4 linked regions of the Saccharomyces cerevisiae S288C genome follow. The gene in region 3 interacts genetically with the main gene of each other region. Each region holds a gene or a part of one and is shown on either strand. Other genes may lie near its edges.

Region 1 (7,654 bases), on a different chromosome or scaffold from region 3:
TACCCTTTGGGATACCGCATTAAGAGATCGCCATTTCCTGTTTTCGCCAGTCCATGTTTCAGTGAAGTTGATGCAATGGTGGCTGTCACCCGACCCCAACAAGGTAAGTTTTAAATTTGGTTCCCATAAGATGTTCCCCGACAATGTTAAGTGGTTTTCAGACGCATCAAAGGCCCCAAATATCTACTTGTTTGTTCCAAAGCAAGATAGATTGGTGGACGGAGAAAGACTAATCAATCATTTCGTCAATGTGGAGTCGAATGTCAACTACAAGATCTGGTACATTGATGAGTATGCCCATATTGATGTCCTATGGGCACATGATGTCATAGAGAGAATTGGTAAACCAATTTTACAGAATTTGAACAACTATTACTCCAAGAAGCCATCCAGCGCCTTTGAAAGTGATTGTTCGGACACAGAGGTGGAAACGGAGCTGGAAATGGTTGCTGAGAAGGCTTGAAGAGGAAGCATGATATATAGGTTAATATAAATTATACTTGGGAATACATAGATAGAGGGCTAGTAAATTTTTAGTTTTTAATTGTTCTTTTTTTTTGAAGTATTGTGTCACAAATTGTCGGGAGTTGGGACATCACCGTGCATAACGATACATTTTTTTGAAAAATTTGATATTGAAAAAAAATCGATGAGTTTGAATTACATTACAGTTGTATAAAGCAACCGCATTTCATTAACGTAGTTTGACTCGCGAAGATAAGGCGTTAAAATGAAGATTAAGACCATTAAAAGAAGTGCTGATGACTATGTCCCTGTTAAAAGTACGCAGGAATCTCAAATGCCCAGGAATTTGAACCCTGAATTGCATCCTTTTGAAAGGGCACGTGAATATACTAAAGCTTTGAATGCCACCAAATTGGAAAGAATGTTTGCTAAACCCTTTGTGGGTCAGTTAGGATACGGTCATAGAGATGGTGTTTATGCTATTGCCAAAAATTATGGTAGTCTGAATAAATTGGCTACTGGTTCTGCAGATGGTGTGATTAAATACTGGAACATGTCTACTAGAGAAGAATTTGTTTCCTTTAAGGCGCATTATGGACTCGTTACTGGTCTTTGTGTGACACAGCCTCGTTTTCATGACAAGAAGCCAGATTTGAAGAGCCAAAATTTTATGTTATCTTGCAGTGATGACAAAACTGTCAAGCTATGGTCAATAAATGTTGATGATTACTCCAATAAAAACTCCAGTGATAACGACTCCGTTACTAACGAGGAAGGTTTGATTCGTACTTTTGACGGTGAATCTGCATTTCAAGGTATCGATTCGCACAGAGAAAACTCCACGTTTGCCACAGGTGGGGCCAAGATCCATCTTTGGGACGTTAACAGATTGAAGCCAGTTTCCGATCTATCATGGGGAGCAGACAACATTACTAGTTTAAAATTCAATCAAAATGAAACAGATATCTTGGCCAGTACTGGTAGTGATAATTCTATTGTTCTTTACGACTTGAGAACCAACTCCCCCACACAAAAGATTGTTCAAACAATGAGGACGAATGCTATTTGCTGGAATCCAATGGAGGCCTTCAACTTTGTAACTGCCAATGAAGATCATAACGCCTACTATTATGATATGAGGAATTTATCACGTTCATTGAATGTATTCAAAGATCACGTCAGCGCAGTAATGGATGTTGACTTTTCTCCTACGGGGGATGAGATTGTTACTGGTTCGTACGATAAGAGTATCAGAATATATAAGACGAATCACGGACATTCGAGAGAAATTTATCATACGAAGAGAATGCAGCATGTTTTCCAGGTTAAATATTCCATGGATTCTAAATATATTATCAGTGGATCTGATGATGGGAATGTTAGGCTATGGAGAAGTAAAGCTTGGGAGAGGTCTAATGTCAAAACTACTCGTGAAAAGAATAAATTAGAATATGACGAAAAATTAAAAGAAAGATTTAGACATATGCCGGAGATCAAAAGAATCAGTAGACATAGACACGTGCCACAAGTCATCAAAAAGGCTCAGGAAATTAAGAACATTGAGTTGAGTTCTATTAAGAGAAGAGAAGCTAATGAAAGGCGTACTAGAAAGGATATGCCATACATTTCCGAAAGGAAGAAACAAATCGTTGGTACCGTGCACAAATATGAAGATTCAGGAAGAGATAGGAAAAGAAGAAAGGAAGATGACAAACGTGATACTCAAGAAAAGTAGTTATTCTGTTTTATGTTGTCTGTATATACACATATGTACAATATTTGCATTTTTTTAATTTTTAATTCACATGTATTTGATAAATGTTCACGCCAGTCCCGTTAAATTAAAATTACCATTTTATTAGATTATGAATTTATATATGAATACATTGTGTCGTAATGGTAGAAGAAGTTGAAAAAAAAAATGTCAAGGGACAGCATGGGTACAGTGTGTTGAGCCAAAAAAAAAAAGAAAAAAAAAGAAAAAACTTTTTGTTCTCTGGTTCTTTTCTTCATCTTCTTCATCTTCATTCTTTGGTAGCGGGGGCCACAAGAAATTCGGGCGAAAGTGCTCATTATATTGTTACATCCAAAATTTTGCCCACATCCAGTGAGGTTTTCACAGAAAGGTCTTCTAAAAGAGGAATAATATCTAATAATTCGTTATCATGAGTATCTGAGAACCAGGACGAAATCGGTATTGCATGTTGGGGATGAAAAATATAAGATGCCGGAGAGTTATCGAGAATGATGATATCTGATAACGGCCTTCCAATCTGGGATAAGTTTTTTATATAGTTTCCTTCATAGTTATAGCAAGCCTCTCTGAATAATCTGTGATGAATGACTTTATCTGTGTCTAATATATCAAGCAAAGGATCACCGTATCGAGAGACACTAGCCGTGAAGACTACAACCTCGAATAATTTTCCGACTCTTTCCAAAAATTCTTCCACACCAGGTCTTTTAATGACATAGACATTGTGTACTTGGTCATCTATTTCCACAGACAAAACAAAATCCGCAGATCGTAAGTATTTGAAAGAAGAGTGTACCAAGGTTTCATCCAGGTCCAGTATTAGGCATTTCTTGCCCTTTGTACTTTCATCTTGTGGGGGGAGCAGAGTGTTGTAACCTGGTGCATGATACTGGCCCTGCTGCAAAAGCGTTAGATCAATATATTCTTCATCTTCATCGTCTTCGTCGTCGGCATCGTTGGAAGTTTCACTGGCTTGAGAGCTGCTACTTACCCTACTCAAATTCATATCTTGGATAAGATGGTCAGACGATACTTGTACAGTAGGCCCTCGCTGCTGCGACTGCGACTGCGACTGTGACTGTGACTGTGACTGGGGTTGTGGTTGTGGTTGTGACTGTTGTTGTTGTTGCTGCTGTTGTTTTTTCTGCCTGGAAGTATCTTTCACAGCATCTCCTTTTTCCTGTACAATGCCACGACTGCGACGGTTATCTTCATCGTCGATCTCTTCATCTTCGTCAACCTCGTATTTTTCCTCGTAAAGATCATCTTTACTAATTCGCTTCTCTACTTTTGTCATATTATTAGTAGTAGTGGCGGTGACGGCTGCAGTCGGCGACGATGGCTTCTTTTTTTCATTATCGTTCGTGCTTATCCCAGATTTACCGGTGGATCGTTCAGTGGAACTGAAAGTAGCGGCTGAATTTGTCTTAGAAGGAGGAGAGTTTGTCTGATGTACGCCACGGGTTCGGCTTTTCGTGTTGGAATGTTTAACGCTTCTGTTTTTATTGAGAGAACTGCTCTGTTGTTGGCGATAAGCAGAATTGGAATTGGATTGTGTCGTCTCGGAAGAGCAGCACAGTATTGACGATATGAAACCCATACTGTTTTGCTACTTATTGTTGTTAAAGCTTACGAACACGAATGTAGGCAAATAAAAAGCTTGGATAAACGCACAATGAAAGGGGAAGTGCGATTGATTATGCTATAAGGAATGACACGAAGAGAGCAGACTATAGGCTAGGCAGGCGATAAAGGAAGGAGTTGTACTTGACGACAACGTAATAAAGAGTTCAATGAAAGAGTATTGTGAGCAGTATGGTTCAACGAGCACTTCTTCTCGACACCTATTTCTATACTTTTTCACTTAATATACACTAACTAATCCCAGACTTTTTTTTTTTTCCGTTCTTTCCAGAAAAAAAAGAAACAAAGCAAGCGTGCCCTGACTTAGGGTTTCCTAAAAAAGTTATTAGGTTTGTGTCACGTGATACGTCCTTTTCTGGTCACGTGGTCTTAGAACACTCTTAAGGGGCCAAGCACAAGAGGACAGTGCTAGCAGTAGAAGTGGTGTAGTAGTGATGAGGTAATGTTAATTGTGCATCGCACATATTTACAGGTAGTATATACTATAGTTTGTGAATACCTATTCTTATATATACAAGAAATGGTTGTCGGCAGACTGTCAGTAAGACTAATTTGCACTTGGAACTTCGAAGCCATAACCCTTCATGCACTCTTTGTACTTTTCAATGAATTCCTTGCATTTTTCAGAGTCTTGTCCATTGAATAAGATGCATGTATCCCGCTCCTCCTTTTCTGGCTTACAAACGCAACATGGCTTAGGTTTGTCCTCGCACTCCGCGTGGTTTTCTTGTTCTTGTTTCTTGTCAGTTTCAGTCATTGGGTATAATTGATTGTGTAGTTATCTGATTGTGTACACTAAAATTTTGTTTAGTTGTACTAGAGACAAGTAGTTAGGTGGTTACTAGATTCTGATTCGCCGCTATATATCGTCATTTTATCTTTTTTTGAAGGAGATAGGTAGGGTTATAACATTATCCGGGTAATGATTTGAAAAAAAATTTTCAAAAAATGCGATGAGATGAGGTTGAAAATTGTAAGTTAGAATATGCTTAGATAGTATGAGTATTTACGTTGGTAACTTGGGTTTCGAATTGGAGCTGTGTGCCTACAACAGCGTCTTATATATATACTATGGTGGTAGGAACTAAAAAATACTCTAATTTGGACTTTGTCCCTACAATCAGTGACAGTGAAGACGATGTTCCAATTCTAGATTCTTCTGATGACGAAAAAGTCGAGGCTAAGAAGACTACGAAGAAGCGGAAGGGTAAGAATAACAAGAAAAAGGTTAGTGAGGGGGATAACCTCGATGAGGATGTTCATGAGGACTTGGACGCGGGGTTTAAGTTTGATTTGGACGCCGATGATACCACTTCGAACTTCCAAGGCTGGAACTTTCTAGCAGAGGGCGAGTCCAATAAGGACGATGCCGAAGCTTTTGTGAAGAAGGACGTTGACTTGGATAAGATTATTAGAAGAAAAGGTGGGCTGGTGAAAATGGCCCATATTGATAGTAAACAAGAAGAAGAAACCGAGAAAGAAAAAGTAGAAAAAGAAAACGATAGCGACGATGAGGAATTAGCAATGGACGGGTTCGGTATGGGAGCTCCCATGAACAATGGAGACGAAAATCAGTCAGAAGAAGAAGAAGAAGAGGAGGAAAAGGAAGAGGAAGAGGAGGAAGAGGAGGAACAAGAAGAGATGACGTTAGAAAAAGGCGGCAAAGATGACGAAATAGATGAAGAAGACGATTCTGAAGAGGCAAAAGCCGATTTCTATGCGCCTGAAACTGAGGGAGATGAAGCTAAAAAGCAAATGTACGAAAATTTCAACAGTTTGTCTTTATCTCGTCCGGTTCTTAAGGGCCTTGCAAGTTTGGGTTACGTCAAGCCTTCCCCTATTCAAAGCGCCACAATCCCCATTGCCTTATTGGGTAAAGACATCATTGCCGGTGCTGTGACTGGTTCCGGTAAGACTGCTGCGTTTATGATTCCCATAATCGAGCGTTTGTTGTATAAACCAGCCAAAATCGCTTCCACCAGAGTTATTGTTCTATTGCCCACTCGTGAGTTAGCTATCCAAGTCGCTGACGTTGGTAAACAAATTGCACGTTTCGTCTCCGGTATAACCTTTGGTCTGGCCGTTGGTGGTTTGAACTTGAGACAACAAGAACAAATGTTGAAATCTCGTCCGGACATCGTCATTGCTACCCCAGGTAGATTCATTGATCATATCAGGAACTCAGCAAGTTTTAATGTGGACTCAGTAGAGATTCTGGTTATGGATGAAGCCGATAGAATGTTAGAAGAAGGTTTTCAAGATGAACTGAACGAAATTATGGGCCTATTACCAAGCAATAGACAGAACCTATTGTTTTCTGCTACAATGAACTCCAAAATTAAAAGTTTAGTTAGTCTTTCTCTAAAAAAACCAGTAAGGATTATGATTGATCCTCCAAAGAAAGCTGCTACTAAGTTGACACAAGAATTCGTTCGTATTCGTAAAAGAGACCATTTGAAGCCTGCCTTGTTATTTAATTTGATTAGGAAATTGGATCCAACGGGTCAAAAGAGGATTGTCGTTTTTGTGGCTAGAAAAGAAACTGCTCATAGGTTAAGGATTATCATGGGTCTTTTAGGTATGAGTGTGGGTGAATTACACGGTTCTTTAACCCAAGAACAGCGTTTAGATTCCGTTAATAAATTCAAAAATTTGGAAGTTCCTGTACTTATCTGTACGGATTTGGCCTCCAGAGGTCTTGATATCCCCAAGATTGAGGTTGTTATCAACTACGATATGCCCAAGAGTTATGAGATCTACCTGCATAGAGTTGGTCGTACCGCCAGAGCTGGTAGGGAAGGTCGTTCCGTCACCTTCGTCGGTGAATCATCTCAAGATAGAAGTATTGTACGTGCTGCTATAAAGAGTGTAGAAGAAAATAAGTCCCTAACTCAAGGTAAAGCACTTGGTAGAAACGTAGACTGGGTTCAAATCGAAGAAACAAACAAACTTGTTGAATCCATGAACGATACGATTGAAGATATTCTGGTGGAAGAAAAGGAGGAGAAGGAAATATTAAGGGCTGAAATGCAATTAAGAAAGGGTGAAAATATGTTGAAGCATAAAAAGGAAATCCAGGCAAGACCAAGAAGGACATGGTTCCAAAGCGAATCAGATAAGAAAAATTCCAAAGTATTAGGTGCTTTATCAAGGAACAAGAAAGTCACTAACAGCAAAAAGAGAAAGCGTGAAGAAGCTAAGGCAGATGGCAATGGTGCACGTTCTTATAGAAAAACCAAAACCGACCGTATTGCAGATCAAGAAAGAACTTTTAAAAAGCAGAAGAGTACAAATTCAAATAAGAAGAAGGGCTTCAAAAGCCGTAGGTAATAATTTTCATCGTCATTATCATAAAATATCAACATACTTATCACTGTCATTATATTATTAATACTTTGTATTTAAATATCATTAATTCATCTAATAAACAGGGGATTAGTCAAAAATTCCTTTTTTTTTGTTGAATCTGTAGAAGTGAGTATTAATAAACTGCAAGCTATATGCTATATTAAAAGGATTTTTCAAGTACAAACGAACTGAATGGAGACTCAAGCTACTTGCGGGAAAGAATTACAAAATTACATTCCATTCTAGTAAAAAAAAGTTATAAATAAAAAAAAATCGTCTGACGACAAATTTGTATCTTAATCAAAATAAAAATTTTGGGTTACTTTCTTTAACGTTTCCAAGTTATAAAATTCTTCATCTTCGTCCTCGTCGCTTGGTTCAGGTGGAGGCACTATGATGTCCTGACGAACGTTCAAATTTATCATCTGAACATTTTTCCTC
Region 2 (8,282 bases), on a different chromosome or scaffold from region 3:
CGGGAAATGTCGAGCTCTTGAGGAACGTTTGCAAAGGACAGTAAAACAAGAAGGGAATAAAGGAGGATAGATCTTTTTTTCAAAAAAATCAGCATCATTTTTCAAATATAATATCATCATATGTATGCATATATAAATACATAGTAGCATAATCAGTTGCAAAACAGGGTTCTAATCGAATATTACGTACATTTTGCCGAAGAAATGGAATGCAGCTGCATGACATCCAACCCGGATGACGACCAATGATATGATTTGTTTCTCGGAGTTTTCATTACTTCTTTCATTTTTCTTTAGACCTAGAATTACTTTAAGATACAGAGTATACAAAAGAAAAGAATAAGGTTTTATCAATACAGTATTAACTTATTTATGATTGAAAGAAATTACCTTTGATGCAAATAACTACTGCAAAAAGAGTAATAATAAAATGTATGCAGCACATGTTTTTTAGAGTGTTAATTACATTGGCATACCTCTCCCTCTTCCAGCCCCTTGGGGAGGCATCATGCCAGCATTGGCACTTTCACTACCTTTATTAGTGATCGTCTCGTCAACAGATAAAATCAAGTTAGTAGCCTCTGTGGCACTGTTCAAAGCATTGATTTTTACTAAAGCAGGTTCCCATACGAATTTGGCAAAATTATCGCCAATATTTTCTGTTTCAAAGACAACACCATACCATTTCTCACCTTTGCTGTGAGCCAATCTTAGTTTGTTTAATATTTCTATAGCATCAAACCCAGCATTTTCACAGAGTTGCCTTGGAATAACTTCTAAAGCCTTAGCGAAGGCATTGATTATCATTTGTTGCTTACCAGCTATGGTTTTTGAATAATCTCTCAAGCATTTTGATACTTCCATTTCTGTAGCACCACCACCAGCAACGATCAGTTTATTTTGTAACGCTCTCTTAACTATCATGATTGCATCGTGCAATGATCTCTCAACCTCGGCAATAACTTGCTCAGCACCTCCTCTTAATAATAATGTACATGTTTTAGCTTGTGGGCAACCTTGGAATAAATTGTAGCGTTCTGACCCGATTTGCATTTCCTCAAACAAAGCACAAGTACCCAAATGCTCTGGTTTTATATCTGAAGTAGTAGATTGTATAGAGCCTCCAACAGCTTGGATGACACGATTCATATCATCTGCGCTCACTCTACCAGCGCAGAAAATATTTCTATCAGCAAAAAATTGAGTAGCCAAATCGCCGATAGGTAACTTTGATAGTACAATATTGGCACCTGTTTCTTCCACTTGTCTTAGCTTTTCAAAGATTAATTGCCACTCCGCATCTACAATAGCTTGGTAATCTTCAACATGTTCTACACGTACTTCAGCATTGTCTTTCTCTGCTTTCAACTCCAGTTCTACATTCAAACTTAAAATTTTAGGATTGTTGAACTTTTTGGGTTGCTGTTCAAATCCAGCATACGAAAATGTCTTCTTAAAGGCGACACCGTTGATGAAAAGAGATTCTTCCATAGCACCACCTGGAATTTTTTTAATACCTATTAATTTGTCATCCAAATCGTTTCTATCAAGGGATAGCACGGCGTCAACACACATTTTAACAAAAAAATCTGCATTATTATGAATCAATTTCGACGACATTGCAGTTCTAGCACAGCGTTCAAGTAATTCTCTGCCACTGCTTTTCTCTGAAGTAATATCCACAGCTAATTCGTTAATCTTCTCCACAGCTAAAGAAACGGCCTTTCTGTAGCCCTTCATAATCAAATGAGATGAAATGCCTTCTTCCAAAAAGGGCTTGGCTTCTTTCATTAACTCACCAGCTAAAATGGTTACACTAGTTGTACCATCACCCACCTCGGCATCCTGAGCTCTAGAAATATCCACTAAAGTTTTGGCAGCAGGATGTACTACATCTAATAATTTTAGGATCGTGGCACCATCGTTAGAAATAGTAGTCTTTTGATTCGATGTCACAATTAAAATATCAGAACCTAAGGGACCTAAAGTTGGTTTCAATGCCTCTTGGACTGCAACACAGGCATTGATATTAGAGATGATTTGACCTTTACCTTGAGATGCGTCTGTTCCCTCTTTTAGAACCACAATTGTAGGTGTTTGGCTTCCAAAGTTCATTTTTCCGAGTTGTATGTCTCGTGATTCAGGTACTACTTAATATTTGCGGCTAATTCTCTGTATTTGAAATCATTTCGACAATTTGGCATCTGCTAACGCTTAATAACAATTATTCATTTTTTTTTTTTTCAATAGCAAGGATGAAAAAGTCGCCACTTAAATATTAATCATTATTCACGAAAGTTTTCTTTTTCCGGGTAAGGATAATGCAGGTATGGTGATTGCTTCCAAGACATCTGTAGTAATATGACAGGGCAACATCTACAGCACCGATTTCGCTGATAAACCATCCAAGGTATTGACGATACTTTATTTACATTCCAGAACGAATATTTATTTATATATATCTGAGCGAGCAGCTATTCACATATGCACTCGATATTTATTTTTCTTCAAATGGGTTGACTTGATTGCAATGCAATGCCTATCATACGGCCCAAATATTTACGTCCCCATTTTCACGACCCTCAACCATGTAATTTTCTTTATACTTAACGGTACTAACGCTAGTCTCGTTACCTTGTTCGACGCAAGACCAGCTTTCATCCTTTTCGCTATCGTATATCTGGACACTTGGTTCGTCTGCGACAACGACTGCAGCGTTCTCTTGGAAGAGATCTAACGAAAGAACTGGCGCACTGTACGCATGAAACTTATTCAACAACCCAGTTCTTAAGTCCCAGATTCTAACTGTTCTGTCGTATGAACCTGTGACCAGGCACGCGGAATCAAATTTTAATGACGTTATGGCATCTGTATGCCCTTTCAAAGTACGAATCACCTTTCCGGATCTTAAATCCCATAGCCTTACAACACCATCTTTTGTACCCGTTGCTAGCGCTGCATCAAAACTTTGTAGTGCACCTATACTAGGCCTCTCATTTCTTTGAGTAAGAAGTGTGCTCTTTGATAAATCGACATTAGTGGATGTTGTTAAGACATTTGCAAAGCTCAGATCAATGGTTTGCAAGCACTTCCCGGAACGTAAGTCCCATTGCCTAATTGTTCTATCCTGTGAACCACTCACCAAGAAACTAGGATCTAATGATAATGCAGTAACCTCATCTGTATGCGCCTCAAATGTATGAACACATGGAGAATCAATATGATTTGTAGGAGAGGTAAGATTTTGCGTTTCCTGGTAAAGTTGTTGAGCTAAATTCAAATTCCATAATTTTAAAGCCGCATCTCTACCACCAGTAACAAGAGTTCCGTAGTCACGATTGATTTGCATACAATTAATTGTAGCAAGATGTCCTGCTAGTTCTCCAATTTTGTTTTGTTTGGATAAATCCCAAATTTTTACCGTGTGATCAAGATATCCGGCTGTACATAAGGTACCAAAGGGCGCATCAAAATCTAGGCAAGTGAGGAAATCATCGTGAGTGGACATTATAGAGCCAATTTTTGTTCCTGGCTCGTAAAGCTGCTGGAATGTTGGGAAGCTTTTTCTGTGTCTTTTTTTGGATTTGCTATAAAAGGCACCTAATCTATTCAATGAGTTATCGTCTCGAAGTTGTTGCCTTCTCCTTGGAGGTAGATTAGAAGCCTCTGATGATATGCTCTCTGTGGTGACACCCTCATTTCTTATAGCATCATTTTTAAGGGCCTTTCGCTCACTCATACCATCATCTTCTGCATTTTCGTCGCTATTAGCTTCGATCACCTCCAATCCGTACTCTTCTAAAAAGTCCAACCTATCATCAATCTGTTTGAGGTTGTCTTCCAATAGTAATTGATTTTGCTCTATGTTCGCAATTTTACCCAACAGTTTCTCTTTCTTTTGTCTCAGATTCTCAACTTCAACTTCAATGTCTCTTATTTCGGATAACGTAGAATTTTTCTGAATATTTAAAAACTCTAAACTATTTACAAGAGTTTGAGAAAAACTTTTTAATGCACTAGGAGAATAAGAGGAGCTTATTTTTTTAGTTTCTACCCCAGGCGGTATGAGAAATGAATCTTGGAAGTTAGGAAGCTCTGTGTGAATTTCATCTCGCTCATTTGTTTTAGACATAACATCTTTCGCACCAACCGTACCGCTTGTACCATTTGTATCATAGTTTAATCTTTCAGTGTTTTCAATGGCAAGCTCCGCTATTGGTAGGTAGCTTTTAAAGCCCTGAAACAGCGATGTTTCTTTTTTGGATGCGTTCTTCCTGAGATTTTCATTTTCGCCTCCTTCGGTTAGAAGCTTGCCATCTGCATCACTTTTGAGACCTTCCTTAGTTGGGATCTCGTTCAACAAATCATCACTTATGTACGTGAGCATTCTGAAGCATGTTTTGTTGTCTGTGAACTTGTTCCTGAATACATCGCCCCTTCTTGTCTTGGAGTAAATATCCTCAAAAGTGTTAGATGCATTTTTTACAAAGCGACCGTGTTCAGTCCTCTTGTAAAAGTATGAAGTTGAGCTCGCATTGTTGACGGTATTTGATAATAAATTCTTATAAGGCCCATTATTGGTCAGTACATCTTGAGTGTTGCTGTTCGATTTTTGGTAGTTTAAAAAAGCGGAAGCCGTTGTGGACAATGTTTTTCCTATATGAGTTATTTGGTCGTTCACTGACATTATTTGTCATTATTTGCTACTAATTGGAGCTCTACGAAGGGTTTATATGGTTGTACTTTCTGTAGAAAGTTAATTTCTTCTCTTGTTTACGCCGTCTTTCCTGAGAAAATCGATGTGAAAGTAGTTCCGCCTGTCAAAGTTGAGCGAATTCCTATCGGACGGAAAAGTCCGATGAGCGACCACATTAAACAGGGATACCAGGTCTGAGGAGGACTGTACAATGTAGGGGGAAAATACTCAAGTATGCACTCACTGTCAACTATTGGTTCCAAGTCGCTGGAAAGAAACTCATAGCTTCAAAATTTAATAAAAGATAATAGGATTACGTAGATGAGCCAAAAAAAATAAAAAAAAGGAAGTTCTGCAGCATGTTCAAGGACGGCTTGGTCGATTGTTTTTCTGTGTCGTAGAAATAGTCTGAATATATATCATCGGTATCTTATACCCTCATTCAAGGTGGAAATTGTACCAGAACAGTCATCAAGGGCCAAAAAAAATCTCCGCGACGGGGAATTGAACCCCGATCTGGCACGCGACAAGCGCCCATTCTGACCATTAAACTATCACGGATTTTTATGTTGTTTTGTGAGCGTGTTTAATGTATCCTTCACTATTTGAAAATATTTTCTCGACCTCAATACCAAATCAAATGACCTTTTACGGTCGTCAAAATGTGTTTCACCCTATAAAGTGAGCTTAAACACTTTAAACATCTCCTCTATCGGTTGTGCTGTACGGAAATAAAGATCAACTTATCAGGATAAATTTTAATAATTAGTATTTAAAACGTGTAATTCGGTTTCTGTATAACGCCAGTCACATTTCTCAAAAGATATATTACTATATGATGTAAACATTAGATTTATTAGAACTGGTAGCAATTAATATTTTAATCAATACTGATGTGAAATCTGAGATATGGGTGGATTTTGAAATAATTGTTGGAATCCTGTTGTTGATAGAGGGTATAATATTAGGTATACAGAATATACTAGAAGTTCTCCTCGAGGATATAGGAATCCTCAAAATGGAATCTATATTTCTACATACTAATATTACGATTATTCCTCATTCCGTTTTATATGTTTCATTATCCTATTACATTATCAATCCTTGCACTTCAGCTTCCTCTAACTTCGATGACAGCTTCTCATAACTTATGTCATCATCTTAACACCGTATATGATAATTGTTGGAATAAAAATCAACTATCATCTACTAACTAGTATTTACGTTACTAGTATATTATCATATACGGTGTTAGAAGATGACGCAAATGATGAGAAATAGTCATCTAAATTAGTGGAAGCTGAAACGCAAGGATTGATAATGTAATAGGATCAATGAATATTAACATATAAAATGATGATAATAATATTTATAGAATTGTGTAGAATTGCAGATTTCCTTTTATGGATTCCTAAATCCTGGAGGAGAACTTCTAGTATATCTACATACCTAATATTATTGCCTTATTAAAAATGGAATCCCAACAATTATCTCAAAATTCACCCAATCTTCAATAATATATTGATATGTTGATAATTAGAGGTTAAAAATTAGTATTAATGAAGAAGTGAGTACTGATCTTCTTATACTAAATAAGAGAGGTATATAAAACACACGCCGATTGGTCATATTAATTATGACCAATATAATAGTGATTCCGGTAGTTACTATACATTGATGTGACGACTCATATTCCTCATATATGTACCTACCATAACATGTTCAACTAATAGGTCTTTAACACAGCTTCAGTATTGTCTGAGCTTCTCGTTTAACATTCCTTCTGCAATAGGCGCAATCACACTTAAACGTATACGAGTTGTACATTAATATACGATGTAAGCATTAGATTGTTACCATAGCAACTCATGTCACTATTAATTACTCTCGTTCCAACATGCTCCCTTAAAGATATATTATTGTACTTCAACAGATATTCATTGTGTGTTTAGAACTTCATTAATTAATTATCAATAGTCTGTTGAGGCCAAAATATCCTGTGATGTTATTTTATTTTTTAATACTTGTATAAATCTTTTAAAATCAGATGCTGATACTGGTTTTGTTAGTAAATCAGCAATATTACCTTTGCCGGTAATTTTTAACAGTTTTATACTCTTCTCTTTAATTTTTTCTTTTATTATTTCAGTTTTTATCCAAGTGAATTTCTCTTTTGGTTGTTGATAGCTGCGATTTAATCCTTGAATGGCTGGCTTTGAGTCAGTGATCATGACAATGTCATTATTGTCTCCTTCTCCTAGCTCCTTTAATGTTACCTTCAACGTTTCTGAGTCTGCATAGCCTTCATAAATGGCATGAAGCTCTGCTTCTGTTGATGATACACATCTGTTTGTGCTCTTGTTAGAATAAACATTAAAAATATTCATACCGTACCATAATATAACTCCAATCCTTGATTGAGCATCATATTCTGATCCAACTGATGCATCAGTTATAGCAATAACCTTTTTGTCTTTATTACAGTCTCGGTCATAGTGTATTCCAATATCTTTATACCGAACCAAGTACTGGATTATTTTGTAAATCATATAAAAGACTCTTTCATGTGGGTAATTTACTAGTCTAGCCACTTTCTTAACAGCAAATTCAATGTCGTATCTGCATTTGTGTCTGACATAGTTTAGTTCACCTAGTAATTGTTGTAGCTTTAGAACACCTTGTCTAAACTCTTCTTCTGACATTTGCAGTACGTCTTTCTTAGGATCTATTTTATAAGTTGACATATGCGGAATTGAACTTTTTCTAATCTTTTTCAATTCCTCGTTGTATTTTTTATCCATTCTATTTATGAATGATTTTAATGTTAAATCGATAGTACCAAGTCTTTTGTTGTATACTAGATCCATTCCTAATATATCTGTATCGAGTACATCGTCTATTAATGTTCCTGTAATTTTCAGTTCAAAATTACTTTTCAATTTGTTTATGAATTCATCCAATCTCTGTTCATTGCTTGCCGCAATTACGCAGTCATCAACATAGACTGCAATCATTAGATTTTTATCCTCGGTTTGGTATAATCCCGGAGTATAAGAGTTATCTTTCAGTCCAATTCCATTCAAGTATTGTCTTAGATGATCATTCCATTCTTTAGGACTCTGTTTTAGACCATATAACGCCTTATTTAGCTTGACTACACATCTCCTATCATGCGGATGTGGGATGTATATTTCTTCTTCCAATTTAGCATATAGGAATGCATGATTGATATCCAGGGTCTTCATAAACATATTTCTGTTGTTTGCAATCATTAAGAATATCTTAATATGATTGTGATTTAAAGATTCTGTAGTTATTACACTGTAAGTGTCTGGTGACTGAGTATCACCTCTGCAGACTATCCTAGCCTTATAAATCCCATTTCTTTTCTTTGTGAATATCGTGTTGGTGGGTACTATTAAATTATCAGGGATTTCTGATCTACTGTACTTCACATCGACATCAAATACCTTCATATCTTTTAAATTCTGTAATTCTTTATGATATGCCTGTTTGTATTCATGTTTTTCTTTGAGGTCAGGATTTTTTGAAATAGCTTCATTATAATATATGGCTCGAATTTTTG
Region 3 (5,438 bases):
CACGTTGTTATACAAAGTTGAGCCTGGTATTTCAGATCAGTCTTTTGGTATTCATGTTGCAGAAGTTGTTCAATTTCCAGAAAAAATTGTTAAAATGGCTAAACGTAAAGCCAATGAATTGGACGATCTAAAAACTAATAATGAAGATTTGAAAAAAGCTAAGCTATCATTACAGGAAGTTAACGAAGGTAATATTCGTTTGAAGGCTTTACTGAAAGAGTGGATTAGAAAAGTGAAGGAGGAGGGTTTACATGACCCAAGCAAAATTACTGAAGAAGCTTCCCAGCATAAAATACAAGAGCTATTGCGTGCTATAGCAAATGAACCAGAAAAGGAAAACGATAATTACCTGAAATATATAAAAGCCTTGTTGTTATAATTAATATTACAACGACATCTTAAGTGAGAATCGATAGATAATATATAGATACAAATAGTACATATAATATGCATTGGGAAAGAATTTTTATTTTTTACAATCTTTGTAGACAAGGTACAGTTTATTCATAATCCCTAAAAGTGTTCACGAAAGAATAATCTCTGTCATAGATCAATTTTCCTAAAGGCAATAAGGCTCTAAAAGCTTCGAAATCTTCCTTTATTCCACTGTCACTATTAAAATTAGAATTTTCAGGGGTCTCTAGACCACTGGAAAGAGTATCTCCGGTATCAGAACTATGGATGGGATAAACAAGAGATGTTAGGTCCGAACGAATTGGGTACAAAGATGAGTCATCAGATATTCCTTTCCTATTTGAAGATGGCGATAGGTCTCCAAAATTTGAGATGGGGGAGTGAGATTTTAATAGTTTTAAAATTTCGACTGATAACTCTCCAAATAAGTTTATTGGTGCTTCCTCCGCAAAGTCTTCTGAAGAAATATCATTCGTATTCAGTCCATCATCGGCGAGATCGGCTTCGTTGCCCTTTTGTAAAGAATGGAGAGAACCATATGATTTTAGACTCATAATTAGTTGATCGACTGTTTCATCTTTTATCTTTCTTGAATGCATAATAACTTTCGTTATCGTTTCATCATAAGGTTTAGAATCAAATATTGACGTAGAATCGTTCAAAGCATGATAACGTTGCAAAACGTATTTCAAAAAGTGGCTGTAGAACACAATCAAAGTGTTCCATTTGACATTGTCAAACAGTAACTGCTCATCATTTTCTCCCACTAATCGATCATAAGATTTTTTTAGGATATCGATGATCTCTTTTACCTCACCTTTCTTTTTTAGATCGTTCATATTATCCACAACGTAAAAGAAGAGAACAAACATAGCAGTAGAGAACTGATACATAACCTCGTTATACATATGCGCCTGGTAATTGATGCCTTGAAACAGCTGTAACATTTCTTTACTGGCGTTTAAGTATTGACTTGAAAAAAGAATGAATAGCTGAGGAATATCATGGCGAGAACCTTTGTATAGGCGTTCGTTATCAATCAATAAGGATGTAGTCATCATGCTCAAAATCACTTTAGAATATAGCGCCCTAAAATGACAATTCAAAACACGAGAGCATGCAATCTCAAAACTTAAAGCCGGATTTTCTTGGGATTTTTGAGCGTAAAGTACCGATAAATACTGTTTATAACTTTTTAGTTTCATACTTACGTGCAAGTTGTCTCTCCAATTGTTCAAAGAATCATTGAGATCTTTGATTTTATCAAGCATGGCATCGAATGAAAGATCTAGAGTACTTCTGACAGCAAAACAAGTAGAGTATATTTTACTCTCAATACTAACCAATTTTGAAACATAATATGATATGAAAAGGGATATGTGCTGACAAAAATTTACAACTACATTCAATGCAGAGTTGACATCAGTAATTTTATCGAGATCTTCCTTTTTATCAATAAGATCAGGTAGAATATTAGTTTTTATCACTTCATAATAATTTTGATCTGTTAGCATATCCATATCGCGTTCCCCCACAATAGGGGGTCTGGATAACATTAAAGAATATAGTTTATCTGTACAAAAACAATGCCACCACATTCTTCTTCTCCTTATGGCTTCTTCAAAGTCTAGTGACTTGTAAGAGGATTTTCTATTTAATTCCATGTCAACCGCCAATCTAATCGCGGTTCCTAAAATACAATTTGCTAGTTCAGTATCGTAGGTAAGTTGAAAATATCGGTTCAGTAGTAATAAAGCTTGTAGTGTTCTTGTACCTGAACAGATGGTGGACAGCTTATGATAATAATACATGGCATTTAGTAAGGCAACGTTTTCGATTTTTTTTAACTCTTGGGAGGTTGGATCATATCTATCTTTCCTTAGAAACTTTGAATCACCTCTTATAATTGATTGAGTGGCAGATGCACCCGAGCAGAGACACACGTTTAATAATAAATGTTCAGGATATGTGAGTTTTTCGCCGCTTTCGCTGTAGTACTTTTCTGCTAAGTCTAGACATTCTTTTAACGATATTATACCAGTTACAGAGGATAATAAGGTAGCATGAAAATTCTCAAGAAGTCTCTTTGCTTGCTTTTTCGGAGGTAATGAGTATAATATTATTTCGCTGGAGAAGAAAGCCGGAGATGACAAATCCATAAATTTTTTCATTTGAGTTGCATACCATTTTAAAGATATGCTTAATATTTCGCTGATTGGAGAAAGAAACTCCTCATTGGACGCTTTCACTCCTAAACTTTGTTTGAACCAATAGAGTTTTTGAGCAGTTAAAAGTGCCGTAGAGTATATTTTTCTCGCTGGTTTGGGCAAATTGTTCTTTTCCTTGTATTTGCCTTCCTGCTTTTTAACAGCCTTGTCCAATAACCACTCAAGTCTAGCCACACTGTCAATAATGTAAGACATTTTTCTATCCAATTTTTCAATCTTTGAATTCATTTTTTTGTTAAGATTATTTTGAATATTGGAGACTTTATCGATGATATTGCTTTCTAAGGGGGAATTACCGTTTAAAAGTTCAAACCTTCCACTGTTCGGTACTGAAGAAGACGCTACAGGATTGCTAATACTATTTGAGGTTTGAAGTGATTCCCCTGGTGTTGCATGATGTTTGATTTCTAATTTTCTTTTCTTCTTAAGAATCTCATCACGATGTTTGAAAGTGCAAGGCAACTGAAACTTAATACAGTTTGAACATTTTTTGGTCTGCTGGTCCACTTCATCACATCTGATTTTTCTTTTTCGGCAATGGTCACAGGCCTTTGATACACGTTTCTTGAGATTTTTACCAGAGCCGCTCATATCATTACTGTTAGTGTGTTCCATCATCGTGCTGATGTCACGGTTCTGTTGTGTCTGAAATTGCGACTGATGCTCTGTTGGCGAGTATATTGTATTGGGATAAGCCACATTCATGGGGATATTTGGACCTATTGTACTACCTGTCATAAGGGTGTTTTCTCTGTTAGGCATCGTCATCAGTTGATCTGGCACAGGCATCGACCATATTTGAGTTTCAGGAACCAGACGTGGGGTACCAGTTTGATGGTTTACATTTGAAATGTCACTTCTACCGGTGATTTCATTGTTAAAAACCGCATTCATATTGCTTGCTGAGTTTGAAAACCCATTTGGGCTGTAATCTCCACCTTGATTTTCCATTATTTCAAACCGAAGATTTGGAGTGGAGAGTGCTGATTTCCTAAGTTGAATTAAAGTACGATAATAAGCTCCCTAAGACATTTATTCTTTTTTCGAATTAAAGGCTTTTTATATAAAGCCATCTTTCATGTACGTAATTGGAGATTATACCAAAACCAAACAGGGTAAGAGATGTTTCTCTAATGAATAAAATAACAGTGTTACCTTAGCACAAGCCAATATTCAAAACACATGTGGTAGACCTTCTGTAATATTTATGTATATCTCCATAATCTTTCACCTACACAATCTCACTTATATTGCGGCTAACGTACATTGTTAAATATATATGTATCTGTGTATTTGTTGTACCTCAGGGTGAGGGTCCCGCTTCCGTCTGTAGTCGGTATTCGTAAAGTAAAAGACAGAGCGAAGCTTATGTTCAAAGCTCGTCATGACTACTGGTATCTTCTAACTGGTCTTCTATGTGTGATAATAGGCTCAATTGTAGACGAATGATTTTCAGTTTTTCTTTAACTTCTTTACTCAAGTCATCTCCATTTTGCTTAATTAAAGCTTCTAGTCTTCGCCTTTCCTTTTCCAGCCCATTCACGTCACCGTATAATTTAGATAAAGTATCAGAGTAGTATTCTTTACCAGCTTTACACAGAAGCTGTTGAGAACGTAATTCTTCATTGCAATTCCTAGAATCATCGAAAATATGTTCTATGAATCTTTCTTCTGTATCTTTACTTCTTACAGTATCGATAAAGTTGCTTAAACTCTTTAGGTTCCTACTCCCTTCAAAACGAACAACCCTAGACGTATCCAGTTGGTACTTAGGATTGTTGAACCACGTCTTGATTCTTTGCCATAGTCTTTCATGAAATTTCATAGACGACCAATCGAGCTTCGGAAGAACTAAGGGCTTAGTACGAGGTTTGACCAGTTCAATTATTGGAAATCCAGGCAAGTCGGTACATAAAGTTGGCCCGAAGAATTCACAGTTAACTTCAAGGAAGTTAATTGGGGTATCATCTTTATTAGCTTTTTTGGCGTATAGCTCACCAAGCTCTTCGTATACTGGGGCCAGAGTTTTACAATGTTGGCACCAAGAAGTGTAGTATTTTATCATTGTGTAAGAATCATTCCTATTGCAGATATCGAAGTACTGCTCAATCGACTTGACCATCGTGACAGCTTCACTGTAGGCCAACGCTGGTAAAATGACGACGCATGTTGATAATACGGAAAATAAAAAGCCGTGCAATTTCATCTCCTTTGTGTTTTACTTTGCCGACGTACTTGCACTAGACTCGCTGTGTTTTTTTTCTGTTGTTTTGTTGTTATGCTGTTCTTTAGCTCAAAAAATTGGCCACTGTTCCCCGCTCTGTAAATTAATTGCTCTTAAAGAAACAAAAATGATTAAAAAAAATTAGAAATATTTGAGATAATAAGAACATCATTCAGGTCGCCCATATTCACAATTATTTACAGACTGTATTTTAATGAAGAATGTGTGCATAACTTGATGGTACCTATTCAATATAAAATTTGATAAATAAATAATATTATAAAAATGTCTATGTAATTATTATAAAGCTCTAGAGTATGTATGAGTTGTTACACATAGCATTCCAATGAGTACTTGCTTTTTTCTTCGTTCTTTAGACATTTCAGAAGAATATTCTTTATCTTGTCATTGTTACTGCAACTACTATTATAGTATTATTAGTATTATTGTTGGTATTGTTACTATATATTTACGCTTAAAAACTCCAAATTCAGACCCCAAAATATAATTTAAATAAACATTATCATTTCCCCTCATTCCCGTTGACCTCATGAACTAGCGGTGAATTATGT
Region 4 (7,953 bases), on a different chromosome or scaffold from region 3:
ATCGCATATCCAGCGCGAGCAATCGCTATTTATGCAGCAATCCCACACATAGCACTCCTGCCCCTTCTTGTCATGGTCCATGCGGTAGCAGGATGTAATAATAGGAATCTCCCATTCGTTTTGGATGATGAGCGGGAACACTATCCTTGCATTAAAATCGACCTCAGGTTTGGGCACTAACGGAGAGTGACAAACATTGATGAACACCTTCCTGCCATCTTGCAGTTTTTCCGGCCCATTAGCGGATAATAGTTTTGTCTTAATTACAAAATCTGCGATGGGCTCAATTTTAGACACCGATCCGTCTGCAGCGTCCACCGACACGTACTTGTCCTCGTTTCTATGACGTTGCTTAATTGGTCTCAATAAGAAATCGGCCATCGGTTAAGGTCTGTTTGTTCGCTTTGAAAAGTCTGTTCCCTGTATTCCTTTTTCTTCCATGCATATGAATTCAAGAATTCCTAGTTTTTTTCTATCATTATTGTCTTCTGATTTTTTTTAAGGAAAAAAAATATCAAGAGTAAAAATAGTGATCAGGTACTGAATCCTGTATTTGTACAATACTGCAATCTAGCACCAAATTTGGCCAAGGAAGTGCCTATGTGTTCTCCAACTAATTTCTTATATGAGCCCTTTTCCAGCGATGCTGTGACGCAGAACTATGACCAAAATCTAAAATGCACCAAATGTGGCGCCTATTATTCGATGGCTTGTTCCCTACGAGAACAGAATGTTTGGACTTGTCTATTCTGCAACCAATCAAACTCAAATGCTGAATTGCCACTGGTACCTTCCAACACCTATACATTGACTTCTGCAAAGAAAGAAATACTTTCAAGACGGACCATTATGATTATAGACGCTATTTGCGATCCTCATGAGCTAAATTATTTAGTTTCCATTCTATGTAATAATTACATCACAAGACAACAAGAGCCACTATCAATAATTACTATTCAGCAATCAGGTCATGTGATTTTACACAATGCTGTGAATCACAGACGTGATGCTGTATTTTCAATAAATGAATTTATGACCAAATATAATCTTGATAAATTAAATGCCAGTTACTTCGAGAAAAAAATTTCAGAAATCAATCAAGAATCATACTGGTTTGATAAATCTACTCAGGGTTCTTTAAGAAAATTGCTACGGGAAATATGCAAGATTGCAAACAAAGTGAATATCAGTTCTAAAAGGGACAAGCGTTGCACCGGATTAGCGCTGTTCGTTTCATCCGTACTGGCGTCTCAGTGCAGTTTGTCAGCCTACTGTCATATAGTTTCATTCCTGAATGGTCCATGTACTAAGGGTGGCGGCAAAGTTATGTCAAGAGAACGTGGTGAAAGCATGAGACAAAACCACCATTTTGAATCCAAAAGTTCACAATTGCAACTATCAAAAAGTCCGACAAAATTTTACAAGAAAATGCTTGAAAAATTTGCAAACCAATCGTTAATCTATGAATTCTTTATAGCTTCATTGGATCAAATCGGTATACTCGAAATGAGTCCATTAATAACTTCGTCAATGGCAGTTTCTCAGTTTGATTCATTCAATGATGAGAGATTCGCAATGTCTTTTCAAAAGTACCTGAACTTGCGTGACCATAATGCCATTTACAATTGTCATTCAAAGATAATGACCGCAAAGAACGCTATTGTCGTTAAGGACTTCCCAAAATATAGCTTAAACCCTAAAAACCTTTCTCTACCATTAGAAATCTCACTAGGTCACAATTCAGCTGAAGCTCCTATACAGTTTCAAACCACTTTTGAAAATCAAACGGAAAAATACATAAGAATTGAAACCCTCTTATTGCCAAAAGCCAATAGATCATTTGGGGCACAAAATGAAATTGTGTTTTCAATGAAAAAGATAGCCTCACGAATTATCGATAGCTTTGCTTACTCATCCAAGCACACTAAAGAATTGATGAAGCAATTGTTTCTATTACCAAATCAAATCCGGGGAAAAGACGTAGATATGGTCAATCTGATACAGTGGTGTTATCATATATATAGGTCTCCAATTCTATCGGTTCGGAATACTTCACCTGATGAAAGGTACCTTTTTCTTCACCGAATAATAAACGCTTCTAAAGACACATGCCTTTCATTATGCAAACCCTTCATCTGGAGTTACAGTGATTTGAAACACGACTGGATCGTGTTGGATGTCCCATTAACAAGAGCCCAGATACTTCAAGATGATAAAACCACCATTTGTGTAGATGGTGGCTCGTACTTAGTTTTAAGAAGGGGAAAACTTTTGGAAAAAGAAGGTCGCGAGCTCTGTTGCAAGCTTTTAAATGACTTGCAAAGGTTTCCGCAGCCATTATATGTTGAAACTAAAACCGGTGGCAGTCAGGACCGTTTCTTGAAAAGCAAAATTATTCCCTTGGACATCACTGACAAGGAAACTCTTGGTACAGAGGATATGACATTCAATGAATATTTCAACTTGTTCACCGATCTAAGTGGAAGCAAATAACTCGCTAAATATTCTTGCTGCACTTTGCGACGCCTGTATTGGCGAAAACAAAAAGTAAAGAAAAAAAAACTTTAGATGAAATAGAGCAAAATTCCCTAAGACAATAGAAGATACAAAAGCAAGTTGGGCCCTTAATTTCATCAAAGGTATAGCATCTCATCAAATAGTCGCTTGTTTATCGCAATACTTGCTTATTGAGTAGTTGTATTATAACGTTATATAGGATCTTCCATATGGAAAGTTTTGAAAATTTGAGCATAAGAGACAGTTTCACTAGCGGAATGGAACACGTTGACGAGGAGTTAGGAGGCCTCTCCGACCTAAGTATATCTAAGCAGGGGCCAACTTTGTCACCACAGCTTATCAACCGATTTATGCCCCATTTTCCCTCGAGCCCATCACCTCTGCGAAATACATTGGATTTTAGTGCTGCTAAAGCTGATGAGGAAGAAGATGACCGAATGGAAATAGATGAGGTTGATGATACAAGTTTTGAAGAAGAATATAATAACGAGCCAATCGAAACTCATACTGAAGCGACTGAGAATGCCGTGGTGGAAGAAATCGAGGCTACCCCAGAAGAAAGACAAAAGCAAGAGAAGAATGAAAGCCAAGACCAAAGTGTAGAAGAGGTCGAGAACATTGTTTCACCGCATCGTTCAACTGTCATAAAGGCATTATTATCACCGACCGATTTAGGTGTGGCCGCAGCTACTAAAGTTGAAGGTGTTGTGCCATTACCACCATCGGCCAATCAAGATGACAATGAAAGTTCGAATAACAACGCAGAGGGTGAAGACATAATCAGAAATGAAGAAGTCGAAGATGAGATCAAATCATCACTTGGCAACCACAAGTCAAGCCAGTACGCAAATGCGTTCGATTCGGAAATAATCAAGAGGGAATTAAGATCAAGATCAAAATATCAACCAATTCAGGTTTCATTCAATACACACAACTACTTCTATTCAGATAAGGACGGCATTAAAACTTATTCTCTTACTAAACCAAATCACAATAAAATAGATGAATTTTACGACCAAAATGAAGCTTTCAAGTTGCCTAAACCATGGTCACCCAATTCACATCCGGCATCAAGAGCGTCATATGCCCTAATGTCATATTTACAGTTATTTCTCAATGCGATCACTACAGTAGTGATTTTTAGTTTTATACTCTCATTTATCATAGCGCTTCAAAAGGACTTGAAATCCACATGGGAACAAAGAAAACATGAACTGCAGTACGAATCCAGAATTTGTCAAGAGCAGTACCTCACAAATCGTTGTAACCAGACGCCTGGCTTGCCGGCTCTGGGCGAACAATGTGCTATATGGAAACAGTGTATGGACAGAAATAACGATATCTTTTTCCGTGCAAGATCAACGTTGAGCGCAAAATTGTTCGGAGACATTATCAACTCATTCATAGATCCATTAAACTGGAAAACACTATTTGTTATTTTTTGTGGTGTGATAACTTGGTGTTTCAGTTCGAATTTCTTACTGGGTTTTGTAAGAGCCAAGAGCTACTATGGCAATGGCATCAAAACATATCCCTTGCCATCTTCACCGAAATCGCCGACATCAGAAGAAACACACTCATCTATGACAGCATCTGGAGAGGACTCACACCTACTTAAGCAATAGATTGTGCTATCTGGGACAGTAACAATGCTTATCTACGCCATCGGACATCTCGGGAAGCCAACTCCGAAGCCGACAAAAATTGGATAGGCCTACTATATAAGGGTGACAGGACAGCTGACTTTACTCCAGAAGTATATCCATGGAAAATATGTAATAATACAAACAAGTTAATATAATCTATATTGTATAGAAGGCCAATTCAAATTCACAGGAATTATGCTATCAGCAAGGTGCCTCAAATCTATATACTTCAAGAGATCTTTCTCACAACTGGGACACATCAAGCCCCCCAAGCACATAAGAAATGAACCTGTTAAGCCATTTAGAAACATAGACTTAAAAGACTGGGACTTACTGAGGGCTTCCTTGATGAAATTCAAAAGTTCTTCTTTAGAAGTGCCACTGGTCATCAATGGGGAAAGGATATATGACAATAATGAAAGAGCGCTTTTCCCGCAGACTAACCCTGCGAACCATCAACAAGTACTGGCAAACGTCACACAAGCCACGGAAAAAGATGTCATGAATGCTGTAAAAGCCGCCAAGGATGCCAAAAAGGATTGGTACAATCTACCGTTTTATGACAGATCTGCAATTTTTTTGAAAGCCGCTGACTTAATTTCCACCAAGTATCGTTATGACATGTTAGCTGCTACAATGCTGGGCCAGGGAAAAAATGTGTATCAGGCAGAAATCGACTGTATCACGGAATTATCTGACTTTTTTAGATACTATGTCAAGTATGCATCAGACTTGTATGCTCAACAACCCGTAGAGTCAGCGGATGGTACTTGGAATAAAGCTGAATACAGACCTTTAGAGGGATTTGTGTATGCTGTTTCACCATTCAACTTTACTGCTATTGCTGCAAACTTGATTGGGGCTCCAGCTTTGATGGGTAATACAGTTGTCTGGAAACCTTCACAAACCGCTGCCCTTTCAAATTACTTATTGATGACTGTTTTGGAAGAAGCGGGATTGCCAAAGGGTGTCATAAATTTCATTCCAGGTGATCCAGTTCAAGTTACTGACCAGGTATTAGCTGATAAAGATTTTGGTGCCTTGCATTTTACCGGTTCTACAAATGTCTTTAAGAGTTTGTATGGCAAAATACAAAGTGGCGTTGTTGAAGGGAAGTACAGAGATTACCCCCGTATTATTGGTGAGACAGGTGGTAAAAATTTCCATCTAGTTCACCCAAGTGCAAATATATCACATGCAGTACTCTCTACTATTAGAGGCACTTTCGAGTTCCAAGGCCAAAAGTGCTCTGCCGCTTCCAGGTTATATCTTCCAGAGTCAAAAAGTGAAGAATTCTTATCCGATATGTTTGGCATATTGCAGTCACAGAATGTTGTCCCAATGAACACATCCGCAAGTCCAATTTCTGGTGGGAATTTGCGGGGATTTATGGGTCCTGTCATCCATGAACAAAGTTTCGACAAATTAGTTAAAGTAATTGAAGATGCAAAGAAAGACCCCGAGTTGGAAATTCTTTACGGTGGACAATACGATAAAAGCCAAGGTTGGTTTGTCGGACCCACAGTCATAAAAGCCAAGAGACCAGATCATCCATATATGTCAACAGAATTTTTTGGCCCTATATTAACTGTTTACGAGTATCCAGATACTGAATTTAATGAAATCTGTGATATTATCGATAATACGAGTCAATACGCCTTAACTGGTGCTATTTTTGCCAAAGATCGTAAAGCAATTGAATACGCAGATGAGAAGTTGAAGTTTAGCGCAGGAAATTTCTACATAAATGATAAGTGTACTGGTGCCGTTGTTTCTCAGCAATGGTTTGGTGGCGCAAGAATGAGTGGTACCGACGATAAGGCTGGTGGTCCAAACATTTTAAGCAGATTTGTCAGTATTAGAAACACAAAGGAGAACTTCTACGAGTTGACTGATTTCAAATATCCATCGAATTATGAATAAAAAAATTTTTGTGGAATAGAACCGCGAATGCAGTCACTTCATCCATCAACTCATGTAAATGTTAGATTATCGAAAAAAGGGTTTTGATTACTTCATTAGGTTTTTTTAGTTTTACAATTTTAATTTATCTAGGTAAATAGTTTAAAAATATTCATTGAACCAACCGTCCAAATTCCCGTTCTATATTCTGTCATGACTTACTTATTCACGTTGCTATTTATTCGCCGCATATTCATTCTGTTTTTGGCATAAGGACCCGTCCGGAAACAGAACATCAATTTATTAAATACGTCCATTCGTAAGCTTAAAGATGGAAACTTTGGCGAGCAGTCCCTGACAAGAAAAATAACAGCAAGAAATAATGATTTTAACCACAGCTAGATTAAATTGTAGACCAGTCACCGTTCCTCGTCTATTTAATCGTTCTTTTAGTCAATCTTTCATAATTTTGAAGAAAAAAAGTTCTACCCCTACTGAGAAAGTCGAAGAAGATGAAATTGACGTGAATGAACTGCTGAAAAAGGCAGAAACTCAATTCAAAAAAACTTTAGAAATTCAAAAACAGAAAATGAATGAGATAAAACAGGGAAATTTTAATCCTAAGGTATTCAATAGTTTAGTGTTCAAAAATAACAGAAAGTTTACAGATATTGCTACCACATCCTTGAAAGGTAAAAATGCACTTTTAATAACAGTTTTCGACCCCAAAGATGTGAAAACTGTGATCAGTGGGGTGCTTGCTGCGAACCTGAATTTAACTCCTGAAAGGGTCCCAAATAACGATTTGCAATTGAAAGTTTCGTTACCACCACCAACTACAGAATCCCGGTTAAAAGTAGCTAAAGACTTAAAGAGAGTATTTGAAGAATATAAGCAGTCATCGCTAAAAGACTCATTAGGAACTATCAGAGGCAGTATTCTAAAGGAATTCAAAAGTTTCAAAAAGGATGATGCCGTTCGAAAAGCTGAGAGGGATTTGGAAAAACTGCATAAGGATTACGTGAACAAGCTTCATGACCAATTCCAGAAAGTTGAAAAAAGCATTGTAAAATGAGGAATTTCGTAACGTGTATAGAATCAAAAAATCATAAATCTTGTACATAAAAAGTTCATTTTATATAATAATAAATACCAAATTATTGATAAGTTTGTTGCTTCCTCTAAAGTAAACTAGCTGGCTTCTTTAGCTAAAGAGAACAGTGACTTTATTCTTTGCCATGTGGAATTTGTATAAGCTCCTACGATGAAACTCTTTACAAAATTCCAAGCCTTAGCATTGTTACGAATAGGGTAGTCTAATGGTTTTGGAATTTGAGTGGAGACAAAAGGCAAAGTATCAAAACAGACACTTTTGGCATTGCACAAACCCAAAAGACCTTCTTCACCACCAAATTTACCGTAACCTGAACCATTGATACCACCAAATGGTAATTGACAAACATAGAATGTAGCAAAATCATTAATGGCTACATTACCAGTTTGTAGGCTATTTGCGACGTAATTGCATTCCTTGATATCCGCACCAAACACAGAACCACCTAGACCAAATGGCGCAGAGTTGGCTAGTTGTACACAATGGTCAGTATTCTTAGCTTTCATCATGACTAAAATTGGGCCAAACACTTCGTTTTGTGCTATTTTCATTTCTGGAGTGACATCCACCAAAAGAGTTGGTTGGAAATAATGACCTTGTGGATACTTTGGATGTTTGAAGCGGGAACCACCTTGAAGTAAACGAGCTCCCTTTGCAACAGCATCTTTAACCAAAGCTTCTAGTTCATCGAATCTGTTGTCAGATATCATTGCCCCCATATCAACATTTTCTAAATGATCAATATCAGACCCTTGGCGTAGTGGATTTGCAGTC

What was found.
Region 1: mutations in HAL9 (region 3) and PSR1 together harm fitness more than expected from each alone (negative genetic interaction), as found in Saccharomyces cerevisiae (2 studies listed by BioGRID).
Region 2: mutations in HAL9 (region 3) and MDV1 together harm fitness more than expected from each alone (negative genetic interaction), as found in Saccharomyces cerevisiae (2 studies listed by BioGRID).
Region 4: mutations in HAL9 (region 3) and PUT2 together harm fitness more than expected from each alone (negative genetic interaction), as found in Saccharomyces cerevisiae (2 studies listed by BioGRID).

What each region holds. Positions count from the first base shown.
Region 1 is NC_001144.5:126,793-134,446, forward strand, and holds PSR1 (phosphatase), read right to left. Parts: upstream 3,822-7,654; coding exon 2,538-3,821; downstream 1-2,537. Other genes in the region: YEH1 (sterol esterase), read left to right, coding at 1-463; rRNA-processing protein SOF1, read left to right, coding at 731-2,200; copper metallochaperone COX17, read right to left, coding at 4,413-4,622; DRS1 (putative ATP-dependent RNA helicase), read left to right, coding at 4,937-7,195; LMO1 (Lmo1p), read right to left, coding at 7,510-7,654. UniProt on the Saccharomyces cerevisiae protein: Has phosphatase activity in vitro. Involved in the response to sodium and lithium ion stress (but not to potassium or sorbitol stress) by inducing transcription of the sodium pump ENA1/PMR2.
Region 2 is NC_001142.9:201,710-209,991, reverse strand, and holds MDV1 (Mdv1p), read right to left. Parts: upstream 4,688-8,282; coding exon 2,543-4,687; downstream 1-2,542. Other genes in the region: GZF3 (Gzf3p), read left to right, coding at 1-70; chaperonin-containing T-complex subunit CCT7, read right to left, coding at 463-2,115. UniProt on the Saccharomyces cerevisiae protein: Involved in mitochondrial fission. Has a partially redundant function to CAF4 in acting as an adapter protein, binding to FIS1 on the mitochondrial outer membrane and recruiting the dynamin-like GTPase DNM1 to form mitochondrial fission complexes.
Region 3 is NC_001147.6:149,898-155,335, forward strand, and holds HAL9 (Hal9p), read right to left. Parts: upstream 3,594-5,438; coding exon 501-3,593; downstream 1-500. Other genes in the region: mismatch repair ATPase MSH2, read left to right, coding at 1-379; protein disulfide isomerase MPD2, read right to left, coding at 4,015-4,848; DUF1 (Duf1p), read right to left, coding at 5,390-5,438. UniProt on the Saccharomyces cerevisiae protein: Putative transcription factor involved in halotolerance.
Region 4 is NC_001140.6:177,619-185,571, forward strand, and holds PUT2 (1-pyrroline-5-carboxylate dehydrogenase), read left to right. Parts: upstream 1-4,358; coding exon 4,359-6,086; downstream 6,087-7,953. Other genes in the region: PIH1 (Pih1p), read right to left, coding at 1-381; GTPase-activating protein NEL1, read left to right, coding at 601-2,493; BRL1 (Brl1p), read left to right, coding at 2,727-4,142; RRF1 (Rrf1p), read left to right, coding at 6,448-7,140; MSC7 (meiotic recombination directing protein), read right to left, coding at 7,257-7,953.